Alligator mississippiensis: one gene and its partners. The protein of the gene in region 3 interacts with the protein of the main gene of each other region in a biochemical or structural test. Links are inferred from orthologs where the notes say so. Each region holds a gene or a part of one and is shown on either strand. Other genes may lie near its edges. The genes, in order: RASGRP3, RACK1 and PRKCB.

Evidence for each region.
Region 1: of the proteins of PRKCB (region 3) and RASGRP3, one has a biochemical effect on the other in vitro, tested with the Homo sapiens proteins (2 studies listed by BioGRID). The link is inferred for Alligator mississippiensis from reciprocal best matches to the Homo sapiens genes PRKCB and RASGRP3.
Region 2: the proteins of PRKCB (region 3) and RACK1 form a complex in vitro, tested with the Homo sapiens proteins (2 studies listed by BioGRID). The link is inferred for Alligator mississippiensis from reciprocal best matches to the Homo sapiens genes PRKCB and RACK1.

Annotation. Positions count from the first base shown.
Region 1 is NC_081824.1:168,158,939-168,166,963, forward strand, and holds the start of RASGRP3 (ras guanyl-releasing protein 3), read left to right. Parts: upstream 1-4,967; 5' UTR 4,968-5,208; intron 5,209-8,025. UniProt on the Homo sapiens protein: Guanine nucleotide exchange factor (GEF) for Ras and Rap1.
Region 2 is NC_081834.1:51,398,089-51,406,174, reverse strand, and holds the start of RACK1 (small ribosomal subunit protein RACK1), read right to left. Parts: upstream 3,013-8,086; 5' UTR 2,903-3,012; coding exon 2,794-2,902; intron 1,286-2,793; coding exon 1,114-1,285; intron 117-1,113; coding exon 1-116. UniProt on the Homo sapiens protein: Scaffolding protein involved in the recruitment, assembly and/or regulation of a variety of signaling molecules. Interacts with a wide variety of proteins and plays a role in many cellular processes.
Region 3 is NC_081836.1:58,191,005-58,198,847, reverse strand, and holds the start of PRKCB (protein kinase C beta type), read right to left. Parts: upstream 3,016-7,843; 5' UTR 2,953-3,015; coding exon 2,738-2,952; intron 2,642-2,737; coding exon 2,610-2,641; intron 1-2,609. UniProt on the Homo sapiens protein: Calcium-activated, phospholipid- and diacylglycerol (DAG)-dependent serine/threonine-protein kinase involved in various cellular processes such as regulation of the B-cell receptor (BCR) signalosome, oxidative stress-induced apoptosis, androgen receptor-dependent transcription regulation, insulin signaling and endothelial cells proliferation.

The DNA of each region.
Region 1 (8,025 bases), on a different chromosome or scaffold from region 3:
CACAAATGCAATCAGTTTTCTCTATGAGAAACAAAAAGTAGCGTCACAGATTGCAAAACAGAAAAAATATCAAAGATTCATGCTATTGCTTTGAGGCTCTTGAATCAATTTACCTACCATACACATAGCTAGTTCACAGCATGAGGATCACAGCCAGCAATTACTGTAACCTCATGAGACCCTGAACATGCAGCACTGCTTATCAACATGTTATCATCCATGCATGTCAACTTGCTGTTTGAGTCTGAACTGCTGCTTTCTCCTGCTTCTTTTTTATCACAAAATAACTTGTTCTTCAGGCTTCCCCACAGCTGCCAACCTGCAAATCCAGAAGGATATGTTTATATTTGATGGCTTTCCTGGAAATCAAACACAGTTGCTGTATTTGTAATTGGAATGACCCTTCAACTTACAGCTCCTCAGCTGCTTAACCTGGCACAGATCCACTGAGATCAATAGGCCAGATCCCCAGCTGGTTTAGATTGATACAGCTCAGAAGTAACATCCATTTATATGAGCTAAGGATCTCATCCATTGCCTATGCTCCATGCTACAGGGTATGTTTACACGAGACACTTACTGTGCATTAGCCTAATAACACTGTGCTGTAAAGCATTACAGCACAAATCATGCTAATAGCCTACTGTGCAGTGTTATTAGGCTAATGTGCAGTAAGCATCACTAAATAACTATGCACCAGTGCTAATGGGCAGTAACTCTAGGTACTGTGCATTGGGTTAGTACTTTATCAAGCATATACTAAACTAAATGCACAGTATCTAAGGCACATTAATGAATGTGTAGACATGTCCACAGGGACCAGAAGAGCTGTGTCCTTCTAATTCACTCCTTGCTTCTCAGAGAAAAGTGACTTCCAAAGTAATAATTTCAGGCAGCCAAACATGAGCCAAACTTGGGGGAAGCCCTCATTCCACACACTTTCTCAGCACAGCTCAGCCAGAGCAAGGCTTCATCTCATCCTTATTAGTGATGTAAATCTTTTTTTCCCAACATCATGGACTAGGATGATTACTGCTGAAGTGCAAAACTATGATCCTCTGAGCAAATGTTTGTATGTGGTGACTTTTTCTTGATGTCCAAGGGTCTGCTTACACATGTCAAGTCAAGCATGTATCCATGCAGTTTTGGGACCCATGCCCTAAATAAGTTCTAAGAAGGAGATGGAAACAGACTCATCTCTTTAGGCTATGGGCACCAAGATACCTAAACTCCAATCTTGTGCATTCAAGGCATGCTCTAGATCTCTATATATGTGCATAGAGAGATAGAAGGAGTATATAGCTTACTTCCTGAGTGTTATAAGACCAATAAAATTTATTGTGCTCTAAAAGTGGCTTCCTCTGGCAGTTATTTACATCATCTTTTAATACACTTTATACCCTGCAACACTACCAGGGCCCCATTCCTCTCTACGCTAGTTGCTGAGGTACAGGCATGTGCTATGCCCCATCACTGGTTATGCCAGCTTGCAAACTTTGCTTGTGAGCTGGAGGAAGGATTCTGCTTGCTAGGCTCCCCACTGGGCAATACAGCTCTACAGACCTCCAACAGAGCTATGTCCTAAAGGCAAATTTGAGCCCTCTGTCATTAAGGGAAGCTCTGAAGGAGGAATGGTTGTGCCAGACAAAATAAATCTTTCCTGCTCTAAGGCTAATGTCCCACAGTTAAACTCTGGCTTCACATGATCTGACATCCCTAACAGCTCCTTGCTTTCCAAAAAGCACTTTGAAGTGTAAGTCTGAAGCCTTCCCACCATGTCTCCCTTGAGGAAGGCTCACTTAGCAGGAAGCACAAGCAGCTTGGAGACCAGAGGGGTGTTTTTTTCCCCCTTTCCAAAAAAAAAAATTGGGAATCTATTTTAAAAAAAAAAGAGTGCACCACTGGTGAGAATTTCCTCTTGGTGTCTGATGACATCAGACAGCACTGAGGGGAAATCCTGCTTAAATCCTTTCATTCAATTCTTAATGCTTTGGAGATATTTTTGGCCAATGTTAAGAAACTTGTTTGGTTTTTGGTGCTCAGGAAAGTAAGGCTAATGGCACAGATAAATATGATGCAAGCTGTCTCCCACAAATGAGCTTTTATTGGCACCATCCTGCCTCTCAACCCCCTAGTCCAGTGGTTCATAACCTGTTTAGCCTCAAGGCACCTCTCCATAACTTTTCTGAATTTAGCAGCACCTGGGTTGAGAAGTGATTTTGTAAAAACAGCTTAGACCTATTACATGGTCATTGTCTCTCAAAGTCATCTTACCAAACTGAACTAACTTTTCCTCGTGTTGCCAGGCCTATAAGCACTTCAGACCTGGGGTGTGAAATGCAAGCTGAATTTTTTCAGTCACAGAAATCATCTTACTGTTTCACTTAAAACCAAGGATGCACCCTTTGGTTTTGAAGGAAAGTTCTGGGCATGTTTCCCCAATTTGCAAGCAAATAACCTGAATGCAAAGACTGAGCTTTAAAGGATTTTTCAGGTAATGAACTAATTAGAATTATAACTAACTATATTTATAACATTTGTAGTAACATTTATTTTCTAAATGGCCTGTTTTATTCAGGTCTTTCTGTAAAGCTAATGATCAATGTTGAGATGAGGAAATATGGTAATCTCTGTGAGAGATTTGAGCACCACCTAAGGGAAAGGCTGTTTTTAAAGGTCCTTATTGTGTTAATGTTTGATATACTGCACATATTCATCATAGTTTCTCTTATCACCATGTTTAGTGAGAAAATATTTTTGGTACCAAATGGAATATTACAGAGCCGTTTTATGTGACTTCATGTTTCTAGCCTCAAGCTTGTAAAGAAAACCTTGAAAATGTCACCTGACTTAATTACCAAAGACTTGAAAAATCTTTAGCCAGACTTCATCAGCATCTAATTGTTATTCATTGTCAAGCAGAAGCTCTTATAATGAAAAGTGGCATTCTTGTGAAACACAGTCAGGCCTTTTCATGAAGATGCTGTTCTTCAAGACATGGTATGCTACTGTTCGGTTACCGCTACAAAAACAAAGTCACTTATACACAAACACACTGCACTGTGCAACAAGTAAGGTTGCTCATCACATAAATAAGCCTGAAACAAACATGGCAAGTTCCAGATCACTATGACTTATGCACCCAAATCCCATTGCCTTTCTGTGGGACTTGGGCTCTTTTAAAAAAATGTACCTAAAACCTCAAAAGGAAGGAAATGGGAAGCTACGCCATCTTTCAATATATATCCCTTATGCTAAGGGACACATATCTCCCCACTAGCACAGCCACCATTCATCACAGCTATCAACCCCACAGCCTTAGCTCTTCTCTCCAAGTTATGTTAATATTCCAGTTTCATACCAGCAACTGCAAAAGACAACAGAGAAAGACAAGGTTCTTTGGGTGAATTTGGTATCTTTTATTAGACCAACTAAACAGTTGGAAAAATTGTTCTTTGCAAGCCTTCGGGTTTGTACTCAAAAGCTTACAAAGAACAGTTTTTCCAACTGTTTTGTTGGTCTAATAAAAGATAGCACATTTACCCAAAGAATCTTGTCTGACTATGACCTTAGACCAACACAGCTACAACCAACAGCCACAAAAACAACAGAGGCCATTTATGCAGTTATTTGTATAATTTGCATAAACTGAGCAGGATTTGTGTAGGGAAGTGAGGTAGAAAGAATGCAAAGAAAAAAGAGAAAGGGAAGGGAGGAAAAGTATAAATTAAAAATTGTTAATTTCAAAAGCTTCTTTAAACTATGCCTTTAATATTCCTATTAGCCTTATGAGCAGGGATCCTGGTTTTCTCTGATTAAAAAAATCCCCAATTTCTGGATTAAAAAAGTAACCCAAAATCCACATTTTTCCATGATCAACTGAAACACCATTAATATACTTTTTTTAGTCAAAAAATTGGGGAGGTAGGGGGGTTACCAGAAAAAAACAGGATCCCCCAGTTAAGTTAGTTGCTTATGTATGCCTCCACATTTAAAGCATTTCAGCAGCTCCCATGTCATAAACCAATCTAACTTTTCTGATTGATCAAAACAAAGAAAACTACAGCATGCACATGAAGGATCACTTGGATTGATCAGTGTGAAAAGTGCTGAATCATTTTTCTTTAAATCCGATTTAGGGCCTAATCTAAAGCCCCAGGGAAATTCATAGAAAAAACACTGTTGTGAAACAGTTCAGGCTGGAAAGGCTCCAACTGACTGCAATAGGGTTTGGATCAAGCTTCCATTCTTCAGTTCTCAAGACAATTAACAAAAGTTTGATGTTTGTATCCCAGTCACGGTTGAATGGTGACCCATGTAAAAATGTATCAGAATATATGTAGCAGAATAACTGTTTCTCCATGTGCATAGATTTTGCTTCAACTTTCAGAATGGGTTGTAACTCTAAAAAAGGAAAAAAAATGAATGGAGTTGGAAGTCAAACTTAAGCTTAGTTTTAAATCCTACTCCTATGATGATGCTCGAAAAATAAAGCATTTTCTAAACAGCTTTCTCTGTCCTCCTTTTATTAAAACTTCCCCACAAAGCCTTCGCCTGATTTTGAGATGGAGAAAGTATGCAAAATAAACACAAAAGTGAAGCACTTATTAAAGAAAATGGTCTAATTGCCATTATGCCCCGTTACTGTGTTGTGCAGCCAGATGGACTCCTAATAATGTTTTAGAACCAATAATGTTCTGCTCAGAAAGACCGGTACTTTTGATGTGGATAGTATTTGCATAACACGTCTTAAGAAACCTCCTCTAAGTATTTTACACTCAAATAGGTATCCACTAGAAAAAAACTACAAGATCTCCCCTTTGTTTAAATGCATTTCCTGCCTTCCTTATTGCTATGTTATGTGTTGTGGCAGACCTATTTATAGTTCAAAAAAAAAAAGGAAAAAGCTCCACTGGAGGCAGGAAAACTAAGTCGGGAAAGAATAGGAGGAAGTGTAGCTGCCAGTTAGCCAAACAATCTAGAACTAATTGAGCTCAAAAGAGCCACAGCTTTACTGTAGCCACCAAGAACAAACAGCACAACTCTGTTATTCGCTTCAGAATCCTTCATATGAGGTTGAATAATGAACATGGTGTGAGTAGCACAGAAGAGCAAAGGAAAATCGCAGCATATGAACACTTGAAAGAAGTTAGCGTGAGAAAAAGAACAGTGGCCTGAAAAGGGGTGGACTGAACTTGACACCTTAAGGTAAGTCTCTTCCTTTGGCATTTCAGCTTGTACTTTTAATATCTTTCACAGATGAGCAATCTCCTAAATGAAACGGTGGGCTTTGCAGAAGCAATTTTTGCTTCCCAAACAGTTCTCCAGGTGAACTGGCTTTTACAATAAACTTTTTGCTTTGAAATATTGGTTATAGATCCTTAACGGGTTGCAATAACCACAGGTATCTGTGCTAAACATCCCCTACCAAGTAAGGTTGTTATCTCATGTATATTTGGGTTTTGTTGGCGCTAACAGTCATTGATTACATATTAAAGCTATGATAATGAAAGGTTTGATTCCTATAAAAAGCATGACGTCGAGCAAAAAATGCATTATTACAATGTCATGGACTCAGAGAGTTCATCTTATCAGATGTGTTACAAGAAAAGGATCCAATCTAAAATGGAAGCACCTTAATGGTATATTGTTTTTAAATTCAAGATGTGAAATAACTTGTTGGGGATTTTACTAATTTTTTGTTTTTCTATGTAAAACCATGCAGTCGCATTCCAGGGTCTGTCTTAATCAACAGCCTGAAGCAGACGATAAAATTCAGTCTTCCTGTCTCTGGACAGTTCATGCTTTTCTACAATGTTATGAAATCATCTATAAAAGCTGCATTATATAATGTCAGAGCACAGATTATATGATTTTATCTGATGAGTACTGAAAGAGAAAGGCTCTTCATTAAAAAGAGACCTAAAATATGTATTTGCCCTCAGTGATGATGATAGACTTAATTTGTAGGGGAGGGGGTTTTGTTTGGCTTCTTTTTCAGAAAATTCTGCTTTGCCGTATGCCAGAATAAGAGACAATAATGAGAGGGGAAGGCAGAAAGAGAGAAACATAGGCTACTTCATACTAGAAGATTCAATATTCTCCATGCACAGCACAGTATGTAGCTACTACTGCTAGATTTTCAGCCTATTTTAACAAATTGTGAGAATAGAAGTTGTACTCGTGTCAGTGATGTACTGCCTCATATCTGTTCCACGAAGTACGCACATTAGTCACAAATTACTCATGCTATTAAAGATTAGCAGTCATTGTAAAATGCTGCTAGTGAGTAAAAGAAAAGGAAATGTGTGTGTTGTTATGCTGCCTTATCCTGGTAGGATGCTGTTACATTCGGAGCCTGTTGTTGTGAAGATAGCCAGGCAGGATGTCTGCTGATACCCACTGAGGTGAAAAGCTGGGGGAGGACTATCGTAAACAGTGGTAATCGGTACTGCTTACTAAAGACCAGAAGTGCCCACAAAGTACTGTGAAGTGCTGAATGGGTGATGTCAATGGAGTTTGAGATTGAGCCTCAACACCTTGTAAAATCTGGCCCTCGTGCACTTCCCAATTTTAAACTCCTTATTCTTTCTATACAACAGATCTCTCTTCTGAAAGGGCTTGCTCTTGAGAGATATGGAGCACCTCTGTGAGAACGAAGTGTGTGAAAACACTGAACATGGTGCAAGGCCGAGACCTATGAAAATATTTATTGTAGATGTCCAGATAATCCCAACACATTTGCAGGGAGAACGTTTATCATTTTGCAGGCAGAAGGTTTACCATTTTGTTTTTACTCAAGTCACTCAACCTATGTGCCTCCTGGGGGCATATTTCATGCGCCTAAGTTTATTGTGCAGTAAATTCAGATGCATTAATTGCATGTGTAGATGCACCCACTGAGACCAAAATGTGCTTGATGTGGGTAAGCAGGGCCATCCCTGGAGAGGGAGTGACTGCCCTTTGGGGGGCCCCGCGGAGCCCGGCAGAGCAGCCGCGGCACCTCCTACAGGGCCCACCTAGTGCTGGTGACTCTGCGCCACCACTAGCTTCGTGTCTGGCCACTTGCCACCCTCCCCTCCATGCCCCCCCTGCTGCTGCTGCCGCTGGCTTCTTCGCATCTGGACCACGCACAGGCTGATTTGCCCCAGGCCCCGCACCCTGCTAGGATCGTCTAGTGGAGCAAACTCACTGTTCTCTCCTACTGACAGTCAATCGTATGAGGAGCAGAAAGGTAGATTAAAACTAACTATACCCATAATCACCCCCACTCCTGCAATGGAGCAACTCAGAATCAAAGCCAGTATCTTCAGTACTGCCAATAGTATTCAAAACTTCTGCTTCAGGCTCTACAAGCTCATGTTATTGTTTTTAAAATAATACAGCTTCTAAAAGTAATAAATGTTGGGGTCTTTTTACTTACCTTCTTCACTTCAAGCCTTTAGGATGAACTTTTTCAAGCCTTTTTTGCAACCACAAGAGCTAGGAAGCTAATTAAAAAAAACAAATTTAGATACTTTCACAGTCACATGATTCTAGAAGTTGGGGCTTTTAAAAATATAATGAGATTTGCATTAAAATTATAGAAGTTGACAAGCTCACAAGGTTCAAAACACTATTTGTAGATTCAGGTCAAAATATTTGCTGGCTCTGGAGATTACATATACCACAAGGGGAAATTCTGTACTGACAGTTTAATCACCCTATAAGCAAGGCCATAGACCTTACTTCATAGCCACTTAAGGCTACATAATCTGGATGGATTTTAAAACTACTCTGTGACATACCCTCCAGAGATATCTAGGCCCCTTTTGATGCATGCAATGGCATGCAGACCTGGAATTATTAAGACGTCTATCTTTACAAAATGAAAGGTGTGTGATATTTCAGCACCTAAATGATTCAGAGTGACAGGAAATTGTCATGGCTATTCAGCTGCCTGAGTGACTAAAAGTGGTGTTAATCAAGATAAAAAGTAAAATGTAAAGGTTTGTTCTTCATATACTCCCAAGCATGGAAGGGGAG
Region 2 (8,086 bases), on a different chromosome or scaffold from region 3:
TCCAGAGCTTGATAGTCTTGTCCCTGGAACCCGAGACAATCTGCCGGTTGTCAGATGAGAAGGCCACGCTCAGGACATCCTTGGTATGGCCCACAAATCGCCGGGTTGTGGTACCTCTGCAGGGGGCAAAAGGAAAAACATTCGGGTCACTCTTGGTGTCACTATGGACACCTCCTCCTACATCCACCTGCCAAATCCCTACTAAACTTCACAAAGAGCAACAGAAGAGGCATGGTGGTAAAAGGACTGGGGTGGGGGGAGGTTGGGCTCATGGAGTTGAAGGTCACCAAGAAGCATGAGCCAGGTTCTGAGTTGGGTGGGGTGAGGGGAGCGGGGGGAGACCCTAACAAGCAAACTAAATGAAATGTTAGAGCAGAAGCATAATCCAGGAACCCGCAGAGGAGACAGCCCAGGTAGATAAAAGAGGATGGGAGGTGTATCATGCAAAAAAATAGGTGGAACAAGGAAAATAAAGGACATGACCAGCAGGAAAGACCATAAAGCTCCCTATCTCCCTTCCTGTCCCATCATAATTGCAGGACATGTCGTCAGACTCCAGAGAGTCAGCAGACTTGTGTCAGGTTTAATCATTGGGACTAGAAGGGAAAAGGAATGAACAAAACTATCTGGATTACCAGCTTTCTGCAGTCTTAAAAGCTGAGCTAGCCATTTCCTAGAAGTAGCTGTTTCAGGCTGGTGACCCGTACTCCGAAACCAAACATTTCTGAAGTCTTAAGATTAAAAAGTGCACAGGACAAAGAATGCTTGACCTGGAATTGAAAATGTGGGGCACACAGGGATAAGGATCTCCCCTCTTTAAACTGCCAACCCTTGCTATATCCCTGGTTGCTTTTTTGTAACTGGTCTGTGGACTTCAAAATGGGCAGCCAGTACTACTCCACAGTGCATCAGTGCAGTGGGATGGGAAGGAGGGCTGTGATCTGCAGAGCAAACAGGCCAAGGAAGTTAGAAGCGGGGAAAATCTCAGCATCACCCCCAGGGGTATCCTATTCCCTGTCTGTTCTACTGTGTTCTTTCGCCATGTTCTCTGCCCCGCAGACTCTGTTTCTGCCAAGGAAGCCACCCTGCCCTGTTCTTCTTCCTGTCACTCACGTGGTAAGGTCCCAGAGGCGCAAGGTGCCATCCCAGGAGCCAGAGAGGGCAAACTGCCCATCAGAGGAGATGACCACATCGCTGACAAAGTGTGAGTGGCCACGCAGGGCACGCTGTGGGATCCCATAGTTGGTCTCATCCCTGGTCAGCTTCCACATGATGATGGTCTTGTCTGTGCAGGAGAAGCAAAAAGGAATTAGCTGCGTCTCCCTACCACAGCAAAAGAGCACGGGGCCTGGAGACTGCCCCTAGACTGGACTGGGCAGCAACCACTGAACCCCTTCATACCAATCCTGAGAACAGCCCCTGGAATCAATCGTGGCATTTACCCAGTCCCAACCTCTATGGCACAGTCGATCACCAGTCTCATCAAACGTGGGCAAGTTAGATTATACCAACATGCGTCCGGTTCCCAATATCCTTTCCATTGCACCAACCTGTCCCCTCCTCTGAGACAGGGCTGCATAAAACGGCAAAACCCCTTATCCCCAATGCTCACCTAAGCACTAGGTCTCCAAATTCCCTCTCTTTTATTTTATAGCTATGGGCTTCTCCTGAACAATGTGCCCTGACAGGGAGCCCCACTCACCCTCCTTCCCAGAATCCCATCATAATTGCAGGACTTGTCATCAGACCCCAGAGGGTCAGCAGACGCGTCAGGTCTAATCACTGGGATCGGGAGGTGTGCAGCTCCATGATACTAGCAGGGATGAACCTCAGTGCATTGATGGCCTCTGGGCAAGCAGAGAAACTTCATCCTGGGCAAGCAGAGAGCACCCCCCACCCCCAGACAAGGAATTTGTGCAAGCCCCCAGAGCACCACCAACTCACGACAGCCTGAGGGTAGGGAAGGGATCCTAGGCTAGGAAGGTCCCAAAGCTGCTCCCTTTTGATCCCTCCCCACTTTCTGCTGGATTTGCCCCCTCTCAGGGATTGAAAGCCTAACAGGCCCCACCATCCTGCAAAGACCTTCAGTTCCCAAAACCCTCAGAGAGCCTCAACAGGTAGCACCCCCTGAACACCTTTTAGTGGGGCTTCCCCTCACAATACCCCCCACCTCCAGCTCCTGGACGAATAAACAGCACCCCCCACCCCATAGCTAGGGAAACTGAGTCCCAGCAGCCCACCCAGCCCTGCAGCCTGGTACAGACGAGAGATGGGAATTAAACCAGAAGTCTGAGCTCCACTTTCTTGTCCTGAACAAGGTCCGCACCTCCCCGGCCCCCTGCCCAGGGGCTCTTCCCGGACACCTGCCCCTTCGTCTCGGGCACCAGGTTCTGCTGCCCCAACCCCTCCCAGGCCTAAGGGCCCCAATCCCCTCCAGCTGCAGCCACATTTGCACAATGCTGAAGCAAATGGTGCAGCCCTGTGTCCTGGCCCCTCAGTGATCCATCCCCCATCCCACCCCTCCACGTGGCTGCAGACCCAGCATCCCCAATGGCACATCCCACCCTCCCCCCACCAGCAAAATGGTATCTCCCTCTGCCTGGTTCCCCACCCCCACTGCAGGGTTGGTCTCTGCCTAGCCCCCAACCAAGCAGCGAGGTGGACTTTCCCACCCCCGCAGCTGCCACCACGATGGTGTCAGCCACAGCCCTTTATGCCACCCGCTGCAGGTTGCCCCCCCCCCCAAGCGGGTGCATTGGTCTGCCCCGCCCCCACCCCCGGCGCCGCTCTCACCGCGCGAGGCGGACAAGATCATGTCCGGGAACTGCGGGGTGGTGGCGATCTGCGTCACCCAGCCATTGTGGCCCTTCAGGGTGCCGCGCAGGGTCATCTGCTCCGTCATGGCGGCAGCGGCACGGCGGGCTCAGCGCGCGGGGGAGGGAGGATGGCGGCGGATTCGGCGGCGGCCGCGGGCCGGACCCTGCACTCGCTCAGGCAGCGGCCCAGAGAGAAAGGAAGTCGGGACGTCGGCCGGAAACGGAAATAAGCTTCGCGTCGCGTCGCGCCGTACGGCAAGATGGCTGCCGCCGGCCGCCGTCACTCAGAAGGCGGGAAGGAGAGGCGCCCGCCAGCCAACATGGTGGCTTCCGCAAGCAGGAGCCAAGATGGCGGCGCCCTTGCGGAGGCGCTGGGGTTTGTCATGGCGACCACTACGTGGCGGTTCCGTACAGCGGCCTTTGCCAATGAGAGCGGGGGGGCGGGGCCTGGCGCGTGTGGCCGCTGATATTACACTAAATTCACGCCCGCTTTCAAAACTGAAGCGAGGTGATGGTCGGGGTCGGAAGCTGTCTGTAGCGCTGGGAGTGGGGGGGGCAGGGGTGAGTTATAGCCACCCTAAAATTGTCGGAACCCCCCCATACAGCCCACCGCCGCCGTCCACCCCAGCCCCGCCCGAGCGCAGCCCCGGCCCAGCGCCCCCTGTGGGAAGAGGCCAGCACCGCTCCTGGCCCTGAGCCCGCAGCATGCAGCGCACCCCGCCTCGTGCACGAATCCGGGGACACACGACACGCCCCGCCCCGCCCTGCCCCGCCCCCCCAGCCCAGCCCTGGCTCCACCCCGCGCCCCTTCACTGTTCTTGTGCTGCTCCTCTGCCCTGAAGGGGAGTGTGACGCCGCTGGGCTAGACAAGGGCTGGCTCGCTGGGATAGGGATGATTCCCCCTCAAGCAGGGCTGGACTAGACCTTTGGACATCCTTCCAGCCCTACTTTGATATGATTCTGTGATTATCACAAATGATCAACAAATCTATATTATTTTAATTTATACCAGTACTGGTAATTTCTGAAAAAAAAAATTGTTTTAATATAGGACCAGGAACAACTTCAAGCTTGTCACAGTTGAAATTAATTTGGACCCTAATTTTCACTGATTTTTTTTTTTTTAATGAAATTTTACAAGAAGGAAGTACGTTTTACCACCTGAGACCCTGCTCCTGCCTTTGTTTGAGGTAATTTGCATTATCACAGAGCCCGGAGATACTTTGCCACATGAGAAATTCCTGCCCAGAAGAGCAGCCCATCATTTTATTCTGTGAAATATGGAATATCATAACCAGAAGGAAATATAACTCTACGTCCTGCTAGCCACCAAACACCTTCGAGGTAAACAGACTAGTCCAACTTTTTTCTGGCCCTAAGCTGCATAAAATGAACTGTTCCAGACAGGGGTGTAGGTTGTAGCCGTGCTGGTCTAAGGACATAAGCAGACAAGGTTCCTTGGGTGAATCTGATATCTTTTATTAGACCAACCCAAATAGTTGGAAAATAATTATTAAGCAAGCTTTCGGGTTCAAAAACCCTTCGTGAGGCTAAGGAAGTTTCAGCAGTTGGTGTGTGTTCCAAACAGGAGATTTTACCACACCTTCAACTCTCCTATGAAATATGAACTTTCATTTCTACCTCGGAGAACTTTTACAGTCTTTTCTCCTATGCCTGAAGAAGGGTCCCTGTGCCTGAAAGCTTGCAAATGAAACTTTTTTTTGCAAAAATCTAATTGGTCTAATAAAAGATGTCACCTCTACCACTAGTTCAGATCCCTTTGGACCTTAACATATCTCCTTTACTCTTACTTCCACTTTCTATAAATGCTGCAAGATCAAAGCACATTTCTCAGTTTGGAATTAAAAGAGAATTCTTTAAAAACTTTAAGGAAAGACTACAATCACACTCCTGGCCCCTTTTACACTTGGAATTATCCATGCAACTTAATAGACTGAAAAGCGATGCGTGTTAAATGATTATCTTGACAAAAGGTATGCTTTGGACTTCCCAGCTACAGCTTAAAAATTGTAGACCTGTTCAAAAGGATCAGTCAGGTAGGTGGATTCGTCTGCCACAGGTATTTAAAACAACGTTTTTCATATCTGCAGTAGAAACCATTTTTTTTTGGACAGATTAAATATTTCTGTGATAATTTGTTTAACTCTTTGTGTGAACGCAGCATTCAATATGTATTCGAAAAGGTTTGCACTTGAAATGTATTTCAGATTGACTTCCAAGTAATGTAACACCAGACTGTTTGATAATGTTGAAGTATTACGTATTTATTTCGCTGTTGTGCTTAATTAAAAATGCATTGGACCTGATCTTACTCTCAGTGCGTTCTAAGAGTTATTTTTAACTAAAATAACTTCATACTTTTAGAATTCAGGCAGGAAGAGACTGCTCCAGGCCCAGATGCCATTAGCATAGCTTTTTTGATTTTTGTTACTAACAAGCTTTTTCCTTGAAAGTTTAAAAGAAAAAAAAATCCAGAATCAATCAAAACAGAAAATGGTATCTTTTACTTGCTAGAAATTCAATGGGAATTAAACATTCGCTTAAATATTTGCTGAATAAGAGGAGTAGACACAAATCTTGAAAGGCTGGACCCATAATATTGGACTCTTCATGGGGTAATTGTCTTGCATTTTCTAATCCACAATGTCTACAAAATTTTGGGAGAATATCCAGTAGGGATGTGTGGTAGTCACAAGTTTAGGGGGAAAATGATGACATAAATGCAAGAGAGAGGCCAAGCTGCAAATTGTAAACCAGTTCATTTTTGCTATTTGATGTTTCACAAGAAAAATCTCTGAGAATTGAAAAAAATAATATTTTTTCATGAGAAATTTTCAACAAAATGATTTATTTCATTTGAAGTTTTTTTGAAGTTTTTTCAGTAATGCAACCTAGAACATTTTTTTTTTTTATTAGCCATCACAAATTAAATGATACCAACAGTTTTTTTTAAATTGCCATCTTTCTCTCTTCTCTCCACCCCGCTTCCTTTTCCATGTGGATAGAGGAAAACCAAAGAATATATATGGACTCATTCTAATACAAACTTTTTATTCATTTCATAGATTCATAGATGTTAGGGTCGGAAGGGACCTCAATAGATCATCGAGTCCGACCCCCTGCATAAGCAGGAAAGAGTGCTGGGTCTAGATGACCCCAGCTAGATGCTCATCTAACCTCCTCTTGAAGACCCCCAGGGTAGGGGAGCCCGTTCCAGACCTTGGCCACTCGAACTGTGAAGAAGTTCTTCCTAATGTCCAATCTAAATCTGCTCTCTGCTAGCTTGTGGCCATTATTTCTTGTAACCCCCGGGGGCGCCTTGGTGAATAAATACTCACCAATTCCCTTCTGTGCCCCCATGATGAACTTAAAGGCAGCCACAAGGTCGCCTCTCAACCTTCTCTTGCGGAGGCTGAAAAGGTCCAGTTTCTCTAGTCTCTCCTCGTAGGGCTTGGTCTGCAGGCCCTTGACCATACAAGTTGCCCTTCTCTGGACCCTCTCCAGGTTATCCGCATCCTTCTTGAAGTGTGGCACCCAGAATTGCACGCAGTACTCCAACTGCGGTCTGACCAGCGCCCTATAGAGGGGAAGTATCACCTCCCTGGACCTATTCGTCATGCATCTGCTGATGCACGATAAAGTGCCATTGGCTTTTCTGATGGCTTCGTCACACTGCCGGCTCATGTTCATCTTGGAGTCCACTAGGACTCCAAGATCCCTTTCCACCTCTGTGCCACCCAGCAGGTCATTCCCTAGGCTGTAGGTGTGCTGGACATTTTTCCTCCCTAGGTGCAGCACTTTGCATTTAAAATAACATTTTTTATTATTATTCTATGGCAAAATAGGGGGGAAAGAGGCATAGAAGGGGTATCTTCGGTAGCAGTGAAGAAGTTTTCAATTAAATTAAATTTTAAAACTTTGCTCTTCTCAGATTCCCCAAAGGGTGTGCCATGGCACAGTAGCGTGCTGTAAGAGCAGCAGAAGTGCTATGCAAAAAATTAGAGATATACCAATACATCGGTCCCATAGAAGATCAGCACCAATATAAGGAAAATTGATGGTATCAGCAGTCAGGTTTTTTTGGCTGATGTAACCGATAATGCCACCAATAAATGCCCCATGCATGCGCACAGCCACAGCGCAGCACACAGGCGGCCAGGAGCAAAGCCCAGCAGTGTGGAGAGCAGCCGGGTCCAGCTGGTAAGTCTGTTGTGAGGGCTTTCCCAAGCAGGGGGTGCTAAGCCAGGCTGCGCTTGGGGCGGGTGGCAGCAGCACCAGGAGGGGGCTATGGTGAATTTTGGGGTGGCTGCAGCCCCCCCCGTAGCCCTGCTTCCAATGCTGCTGCTGCCTACCCCAATAGTAGCTTGACCCAACCTCCACCGGGAAGAGCCTGGCACGGCCCCAGACTGCAGCAGCAGCCTGCCCTTGCCCCACGTGCAGTTCCAGGGGCACATGCCCCACATATCCTCCCGGGATGCATGCAGCAACAGGAGCTGCCCCCCGCCCTCCCCCCCTCCTTCTGATGAACCTCTTGCAGTTCCATCCTGTGCTCTGACCCAGTTGTGCAGCACCTGCCCCAGCCCCACTCCCTCCCTCGTCGTGGCTGCCTTGATCTGCCACCCCCATGCCCCTTTCCTTTCCCCTAACCTCTTCCCCCACAACAGACTTACCAGCCAGACACTGCTTTCCAAGCTTCCCAGCTGCATATCAGCAATCAGATCAGTATTGGCCAATATGGCTTGTTAAAAATCAGCCATTGGTATTGGCCCAAAAATTCTCTATTGGTGCACCCCTATAAAAAATGATTCCTTCCTTCCTTCCTTGTATTGTAAACATTTTTTTGTTTGCACATTTTAATACATGATATAATATTTTCAAGTCAGAATTTGTAAGGCTATTCACAATACACAACATTGATAATCTGCCATATGTCAGTATGCAGAACATTTGAAGCAAAGGCATGAGGTGCAGCTTATACATGCCTATGCAGGTGCTTTGGTGAGAGAGGGAAGTGGTGGCAGTGTCTTGATCAGAAGGAGGGGTGTCTGTTGTAAGACGGCATGAAAATCTGGTGCAGTCACTGCAGTCATTGTTAAAGTATGATTAGTTTTTGAGTTGAACTGTGAACAAGCTCATATATCACACTGATATTTTTGTTTGAAAAATGTACTCTTTTATACTTTCCTAAATTAAGAATTAATTCATACTTATAATAACTGTGTGTGTTGCTCATATTGATATTTATTTGA
Region 3 (7,843 bases):
GGCACGAGACTGGTTTTTGTCGCCAACTCAGAATTAAGAGTTGCGCTTTGCTCACATTCGCCCCGAATCACAGCAGGTGCCCGGACACTGTGCAGATGGAAGCGGGGGGCAGGGGCTTGAATTTTCACCTAGGACCCAGGAGATTTGGGCTCAACTCCCAATTGCCCCAGACTCCCTGCTGGATCTCGGGTAAGTGGCTGAATTGCTTTGGGTCTCATTTCCATGCCTGAAGATTTGGAACAACATTCATCTCCCGGGCTGCATATGACTGCAGTGGGTATGTACAGCACCGAGCACCATGGACTACCCCCACCAAAACAAGAGCAAGTTAATTATCTCAAGAATTAAAAGGTAACAGGCTAGAACCACCCCGCAGTTCAGACCATGCAGAAGACTGGCTGTGAAGTCATTTTAATTCCTCAAAACTGATTCTAAATTGGAAACAGAATAAAATCTGGATTATTTCCAGAGCATGAAACCTTCCTTCTGATCAGTGAGAGAGAGAGAAAAGTTAAGGATTTTTCTCCTTGGTCAAATTAAGATGCTTACTGAACCATACGTGACTGGAAAGCTGACAGGGTGGGTACCCTCTGAATAAAAACCCCAATGCATGACTTCCATGAAATAAGACTACAAATCTGGCACCAGGCTGGCAGGTAATGGAGTCAGAAGGATTATTAGGAATAAACTCACCAGTTCTGAGGAAGACAAAAAACAGTGGTACCCAAGACTCAGACCGGCATCCCCTGCTACCACAAGAAAAGCTAAAACCCCACCAGGACTTTTCCTTTGGGCAGCAGTGGTCTGAGGGCACACAATATTGAGTTTTAGTCCATACCTTCAATTGCTACCCTAAAAATATATCCTACAGACTGCAGCGCACACAGTAAAAGATGCTTCTGCCCCCATAAAGATGAGCTCAACTAAGTTACCAGAGTCTGATTCTCGAGGAAGTGCCTGAGAGAGGCTCTCACTCCACCCATCCCGAAGCACGGTACAAATGACACGAACAAGTCACCATCTACGTAAGTGTAATGATTTGGGACGTAGTTTGGGGGCATCATAAATTGCGGAGGGGGGGGATGGATAATCCTAGGTGCCTCTTTTCTGCTACATTTTGAATTGCAGTGATGCTACAATTATAGGGACACATCCGATGCTGCTGCTACATACACCAAGATCCTCACAAGGAGCCCTGGGAACTTAACAGATGAGACAGCGACCTTGACTAACATCAGTAGGGCTTGCTGGAAACAGAGAAAACCAGGTGTGATGGCTAGCATGGCAGGCAGGGCCTCTAGCTGAGCTTTGCATCCTGCATTTGCTTTCCCTCCTCGATGTCCACGGACAACGTTATGCAGTTACATGCGACGGGCCACATGATTTTGGCCATTGCAAGTAGATATCAGTGGGCCCGGGAAGAGTTTCTGCAGCGATGCTATCAACAGCATTTTGAGATGAGAACCAGTCTTATCAAAGCGTTTTGGAAACTTCATTATATTTAAGAGACGGGCCACAGTAAACCTTATCCCCTGAAAAGCTCCAGATCCCAGAAGAGATGTAAGTGGAGCGGCCATGGTGATGCCAATCTCCAGATAGCCATCTAGGTGGCAGGTTCGATTCTGGGCTGCATATTAGGCCTAATGGAGCTTCTTTCCTGGTTCAGATACAGATGAAGTCTGCCAGGACTAGCTGTTTCAGTGAGACTGGTGTCGCACACGGCATTATTCTCATGCAAATTGTCTCATCTTGGGATAAAGGCACCTGTCAAGATGACGATCTGGGAGCGACTTTCACGAGCGCAAGATTTCAGTGCTGGCGAATACCACCAGCCCCGAATGGGCTTCAATCCCAAATCGCATCTCGATGCGAACCTGAACCAATCTACCTCGGCCAGAAAATAGTTCCCATGTGCGTAATTATGTGGGACAAAAATATCTCTGAAGTCTTACCCTGAAAAAGGATCAAAAAGCGGCAAAAAAAACCCTGCCAATCCTGAAGGCAGACTAAACCGATTTTAGTTAATCAGGATGCATCATAACTGGCTGAAAACAAAAAATCCCCAGCATTAAGAGCTCTGCTTATGCTAAGCCCTGGACACCGTTGCAAAACATTTTGTTATAAAGCCCTATCCCCCCCCAGCAGCGTCACCGAGCACGCCGTGTAGCTGCAAGCCCACAACCCGCCTGTTGCCATCAAACCCAAGTCGGCCTGCAGCGTTCCCCACGGGAAAACAGCCGCCGGGGCTAATCTCCGGGGTCTCTCTGTGGCACCGGTTTGATATCGTGGGCATTGGTTTGCTAGCCGGGCACCGGCGCCTTAGACGGTTCGTTAAGAACAGGATTGCTAAGACATGACTAAGCCACTCGACGGGCGCCCCGGTCCCCTACCCACCCCCTGCTCCAGGGGGGCTGTACCCGGAGCCCGCGGGCGCTGCCCGAGCCAGGGGCCCGGCCGGCCGTGCGACACGCCGGATGCAAAGCCCCGGAGGAAGACGCTGCGGGTGCAAGCCCGTGTGGCGGGGCCCGGGGAGCCGGCTGCGGGGCAGGGAGACCGCTGCTCCGCAAGGCAGGGGCCGGGGGCCGAGCGGCAGCGCGCGGGGCACCCACCTTGACACTGGAAGCCTTGCTTGCCGAAGCCCCTGCCGAGAGAAAGAGACGGGTGTGAGCACGGCGGGCACCCCCACACACGCGCCCGGACCCGCGGCCGGACCCGCGCCCGGCGGGGTGTCTCTCACCAGATGAAGTCGGTGCAGTGGCTGCAGAAGGTGGGCTGCTTGAAGAAACGGGCCGTGAACTTGTGGTTCTTCACCTCGTGCACGTTCTTCTGGCGCAGGGCGCCCTTGCGGGCGAAGCGCACCAGGCCCTCGCCCTCCTCCGCCCCGGACCCGGACCCGGACCCGGACCCGAACCCGGACCCGACTCCAGCCCCGGCGCCCGCGGGCTCGGCCATGCTGCCCTGCGCTGCCCTGCGCTGCGCTGCCCGAGCCCGGCCGAGCCGCCGCCGCCGCCGCCGCCGCCGCGCGCACCTCTGGGCGCAGCTGGGGGAGTCCGAGGCGCACACACTGCGCTCTCCCCGCCCTCATCTGCATAGCCCCGCCCCCTGGCGCGCCGCCGCGCTCCCGGGCCCCGCCCACGCCCGCCTCATTTGCATCGCGGAGCCCCTGCTTTGCATCGCTGCCTGCTGCCTCCCCCCGCCACGTCCTCTCCTCATTTGCATAGATCTGCCCCAGGCTCCGCCCCCTCCCTCCTTGCCTGCCACCCCTCGCCCCCCAGGTGCCACAATCACCCCTGCCCCTGCCCAGCACCTGTCTGCTTTGCATAGTGAGGGGGCTCCCGGGTGCATGGGGAGCTGGGGGGTTGGCTTCTGCCCTCTCCCAAAGCCCCCAGCCTGATGGACACCGCCCCGACACGGGGCAGGAAAGCGCCCCGTCACAGCCCCCGGGCACTAGCCAGGAGGAGGCTGAGCAGGAGCCGGGGGTGGGGCGTGCACCCATCGGCAGGTAGGAAGCAGGAGGAAGCACTGGCATTGCTTGGGCAATACCTACCAGACATCCACACTGGCACTCCCGTGAAGCCAGCAAGCGTGTAGGATGCGGTGCAAGAAAAGAGCCGGGTGCAAGAGAAGCCCTCGGTGGGGCAGCCCCGGCAGCAAGGAGAGGAGGGGAAGGCTCACGCGCAGCTGGGCTCTCCGTGCAGAGGGGACCTGAGCAGAGTATCTCCCCCTCTTGCCTTCCGTGCCAGTGCAGTGAAACACAGGCATGAAAACAGCAGGAGGCACTGCCCTCGTGGGGGAAGCCCCATGAACAAATACCAGTAATAATGAGCCAGGAAAGCCCGGCCCAGGCCACTGAGAGCAGGACCGTGTTCATCTGAACACTTGGAAACTCGTGAAACCATAGACCTTGGTGACCTTGGTTCAGGGATGTATTTGGTAGCTGTGTTGGTCTGAGAAATATATATATTTTTACAATTTCTCAGTTGGTTTAATGAAAGTAATTGTCTCTGAACCAAGAGTTCTGGATGTTTGCATTTCATAGACCTGGGAGAATTTCAGGGCAGACGAAACCATGACGGCCTAGTCCGGTCTCTGCATGAACCGGGCCGTGGCATGGAAACGGCCGCAGGAGACGGGTAACGTGCAGGGGGGCGATCCTGCGGCTGGACCGTGGGAGCAAGTCCAGATCTCCCTCCACGCCCGGGGGCTCTGCGTAGATTGAGGGAGCTGCTCACCTTGGATCTGAGAACTAAACCTCGGCCACGGCCCCGAGTCAGAGCAAGCTCTTCCCGTGCTCGTCTCCAATGACCAGCTCAATCTCGCTATCTTTACGTGGCGAACGCCCCACAAGCTCTACGCACAGTCCCCACCTAGCAGGCATTTTAAAACTGGCCCCAACACAGTTAGTTGTTATGCAGCTATTTTCAAAGGTGTCATAATCATAGAAAAACATGTATCTGACCTGTCCTGCTCTGTCTTGTGTTCATAGCAAGAATAATCACAGGACTTTCCAGCAACGAGGGATATGGTTTGTGCTCATGTGCGGATGAAGATGGTAAAACCACCACGTGGTCTTAGACATGACAATGACCCGGTGCCCTGGGAAGATGAGTATGGTAGGGCGCCCGGGCTGCCTGCAGGGGCCTCAGCAGGGCTGGAAGTCGCATGGCCCACGCTACCCATTTGAAGGATTGCTCTTCTGGCCGACGGTGATTACCTGAAATGTTTTCCTCCGAGGAAAGCAGTCATAATTTCAGCCTGCCATGTTCAGTGCCTGCACCGGTGCATGCCACCGCCCCACAGCATCGTCATCATATTTTTCCAATGAGCCACAACACTGGATCGAAGATTTGGAAAGGTCGGTTAAGAGGCGATGCTGCTGCTACATCCTTCCTGGGAACGAACCAACTTGTTACTAATACCGAGGGCCTTGTGATTTTAAAGCAGCGCTGCAAGCCATCCTACCCTGAAGGCAGGAGGAAAAGCAATGGCTGCAGCCGTACCCTGGAGTCTGGGATATTTTTGTCACCCGCTGAGCTGAACATGGAGCGCTGCAGAAAGTGATTCACCGTGTAGTGCCCAGGGTGCACTCGCAGGGTTTCCTGCGCTTGGGGTGCACGGTGCTGACTGTGGCAGTGATTAAAGCCAGACTTGGCCCTTTCCGTAAGAGACACAGAAATGATGCATTGCGCGGACACACACACACACACACACACACACGGAAGGCAATCACAATGGCCCGTTCTTGATTACTTTAGCTAAAGGAATAGCAAGCTCTCTGGAGGGTGTGCTACATTCGGCACGCTTGTACTAAGTTTTTTCCATTTTAATTGTAACTAAGTGCACTTTGCCTGTTTCTTGCTCATTGATCTTGTAACTGCCCTGATTTCCAAATGCAGCCTGCACAGCTGTGGCTCATGGCCCCTGAATGTAGCAGAAACCTTTTCAGGAAACCTTTTTCCCTTCATTTTTCAATGCAAATGTTAACCAGCGTGTCAATATTCCTGTGCCAGCATCCCAGGTCCCCGTGTGTGGGGAGGTGCCGACAGCAGCTGGAATTCCCGTGTTTAGTATGCGCGTTTCTTAATTCACACACAGACAGTCAGATGGTGTTAAAGCCGGGATTTCCAAGGCCAGGTTTAATGTTAGCAGGCATTCAGTGCCTTTCAGCAGCTCTGAAAATGGTCAGCCTTACACTTCCAAGTGCTTCCTTCCTCTGAGGATGCCATTGTTTTTATTAAGGCAAGAAAATCCCCCACCGGTGCAATGAAAGCAATGAAATACAAACAAGCTCCGAAACGGCTCCCCAGGGGCACCCAGCCCAGCTCATTCCCATCCCAGTCCTGACAAACCACAGAGCACAGATTCTCTTGCAGGCTCTCCTCCAAAACGGTGACAGCAACTCCTAGCTGGCTCAGGGAGCAAGACGCTTCCTTTCCTTTCCAAACACTTTGTGACAAGGTATTTAGCAGACGTCAGAGATGTGGCTGCACTGTGAGCACTTCTGCTACAACCTTGAACTTGCAACCTTGGTGCTATCACCTGCATGCTATAGTGTCCGTGCTGCCCCTGCCCCGAGCGAGACACTGAAAACAAGGACAGTAAGACATGGGCTGGCAGTTGTCTCCTGACACACAACCCCATGGCAGAAGGTCGATGGAGGAGCTGGTGGCTGCACAAAGTCACTTTACCCTGGGGGCCCAACACTAGCCATGTTTCAGCTACAGAAAATGAACCAGCATCTCAAAACTAAGACTCCAAGAATATTGAATTCATGTTCCCAGTCCCTTGGAGAGGTAGGCAAGCAGCATCCTCCTCTTGCAGCTGGGGAACGCAAAGCACTCAGGACGGCATTGCCCCGCGTGCTGAAACAACTGGCCCAGATTCCTTCACCTCCGTCTCCCTGCATCGGCCAGAGGGCGTGAAAACAAGGCCATCAGCAGTGGGAACGGCTCCAAGACCACTGGAAGCAGGGCAGGCTGTGTTGCTTCGCAGTCGAGGGGTGGTACCTCATCCACACACGGGCAGAATCCGGCTCTCACGGGAAGGGAGCAGCAGAGCGAGCAAGTGGCTGTACTGGATGCTGCTCATGGGAGACACTGTACTGGAAGAGACTGGTCTTAGATGCTAAGCAACAAGGGCTCTGCTTTTCCTTTTGGACCCTGGAGGAGAGGTGAGATGCTGGAAACACAACTAACATCTCTCCAGGATGGACCTCAATGCTCATCCACGCTGACGTCTTGCACTGGCCTCACCAAGCCTTTCCCGTCTCGTGCCCAGGAGCATGCGGTGGAAGCAGAGCAGATCAGCCAGGAAAGCATCCAGCGCTGAGCCAAAGCGAAAGCAGATCTGGCTCTCCAGCCATTCGTGCCAATCAGATACGGTGCGACTGCACGGACTTTATCCAGTTTCTATTAGCACGAGTGACTGGAGGAGCCGTTCCAAAGTGTCGATCACATGCCGGTCGTGGGCACCTAGGGCGTTTGCAACGGCGCCAGAATGCCTCTCAATATGGTCTAAAGGTCAGAGACGGGATGGTAACACACCTCCGCCGTCACCTTGCAAAGTCTGGGCCTAAGAGCGCAGCAACTGTATCTAAGAATATGTCAAAACAGGAGCCGCGGCATAATGTGATGGAAGTGAGTAAGTAATGAGCAATATGTCGTGTCATTATAGAAATGCATACATTGTATAGAGTAGCTGCATCTTGGCAGCCCAAGGTTGGCCACGTTTTAGTAACAGGAGGCAAAATATCATTGCAAAAATAAAATACAGCATCTCTTCTGTGACTGATCCTAGAAATAAGGGAGGAGGGGGGAGGGGGAGGAGGAGAACTTGATACTATGTTAAATCGCAACAATTGCAGCAAGTTACAGGGATACAATGTAATTGCAGGTTGTATTGGCGCTTCCTGCCTCCTGCTTGATTGGCTGTCTTTTTCCTTGGGTAATTTTTTTTGATTAAAAAAAAAACACTGCAAGAAATTACAGTGGTGCCAGCACGGATCGGCTGATGACGAAAAAGGCTCAAAACCCTGGTTTTGTGCTCTCGAGCAAAAGGGCAGGACCACGAAGGAAAAGGATGGCGATCCCTGCTGCCCGCAGAGAAGCCTCCCCACCGGGCAGCAGCACCAGCGTCCTTGCAAGACAGAGGTGTCAAAGCAAGCGGCTGTCCTGGAGCCGCGGGCCCTGCAGATCCGGTAGTTATGTGCCCGTCAGCTCCGAGGAGCCTGCTTGCCTTGCACGCTCGGTTTGGCTTCTCCTGGAATAAAACCCGAAGAGACTGGGGAACGCGCTGCTTTTGCTCGGAGGATGCATTGCCAAGGGATCTCAGTGAAATCAAAGAG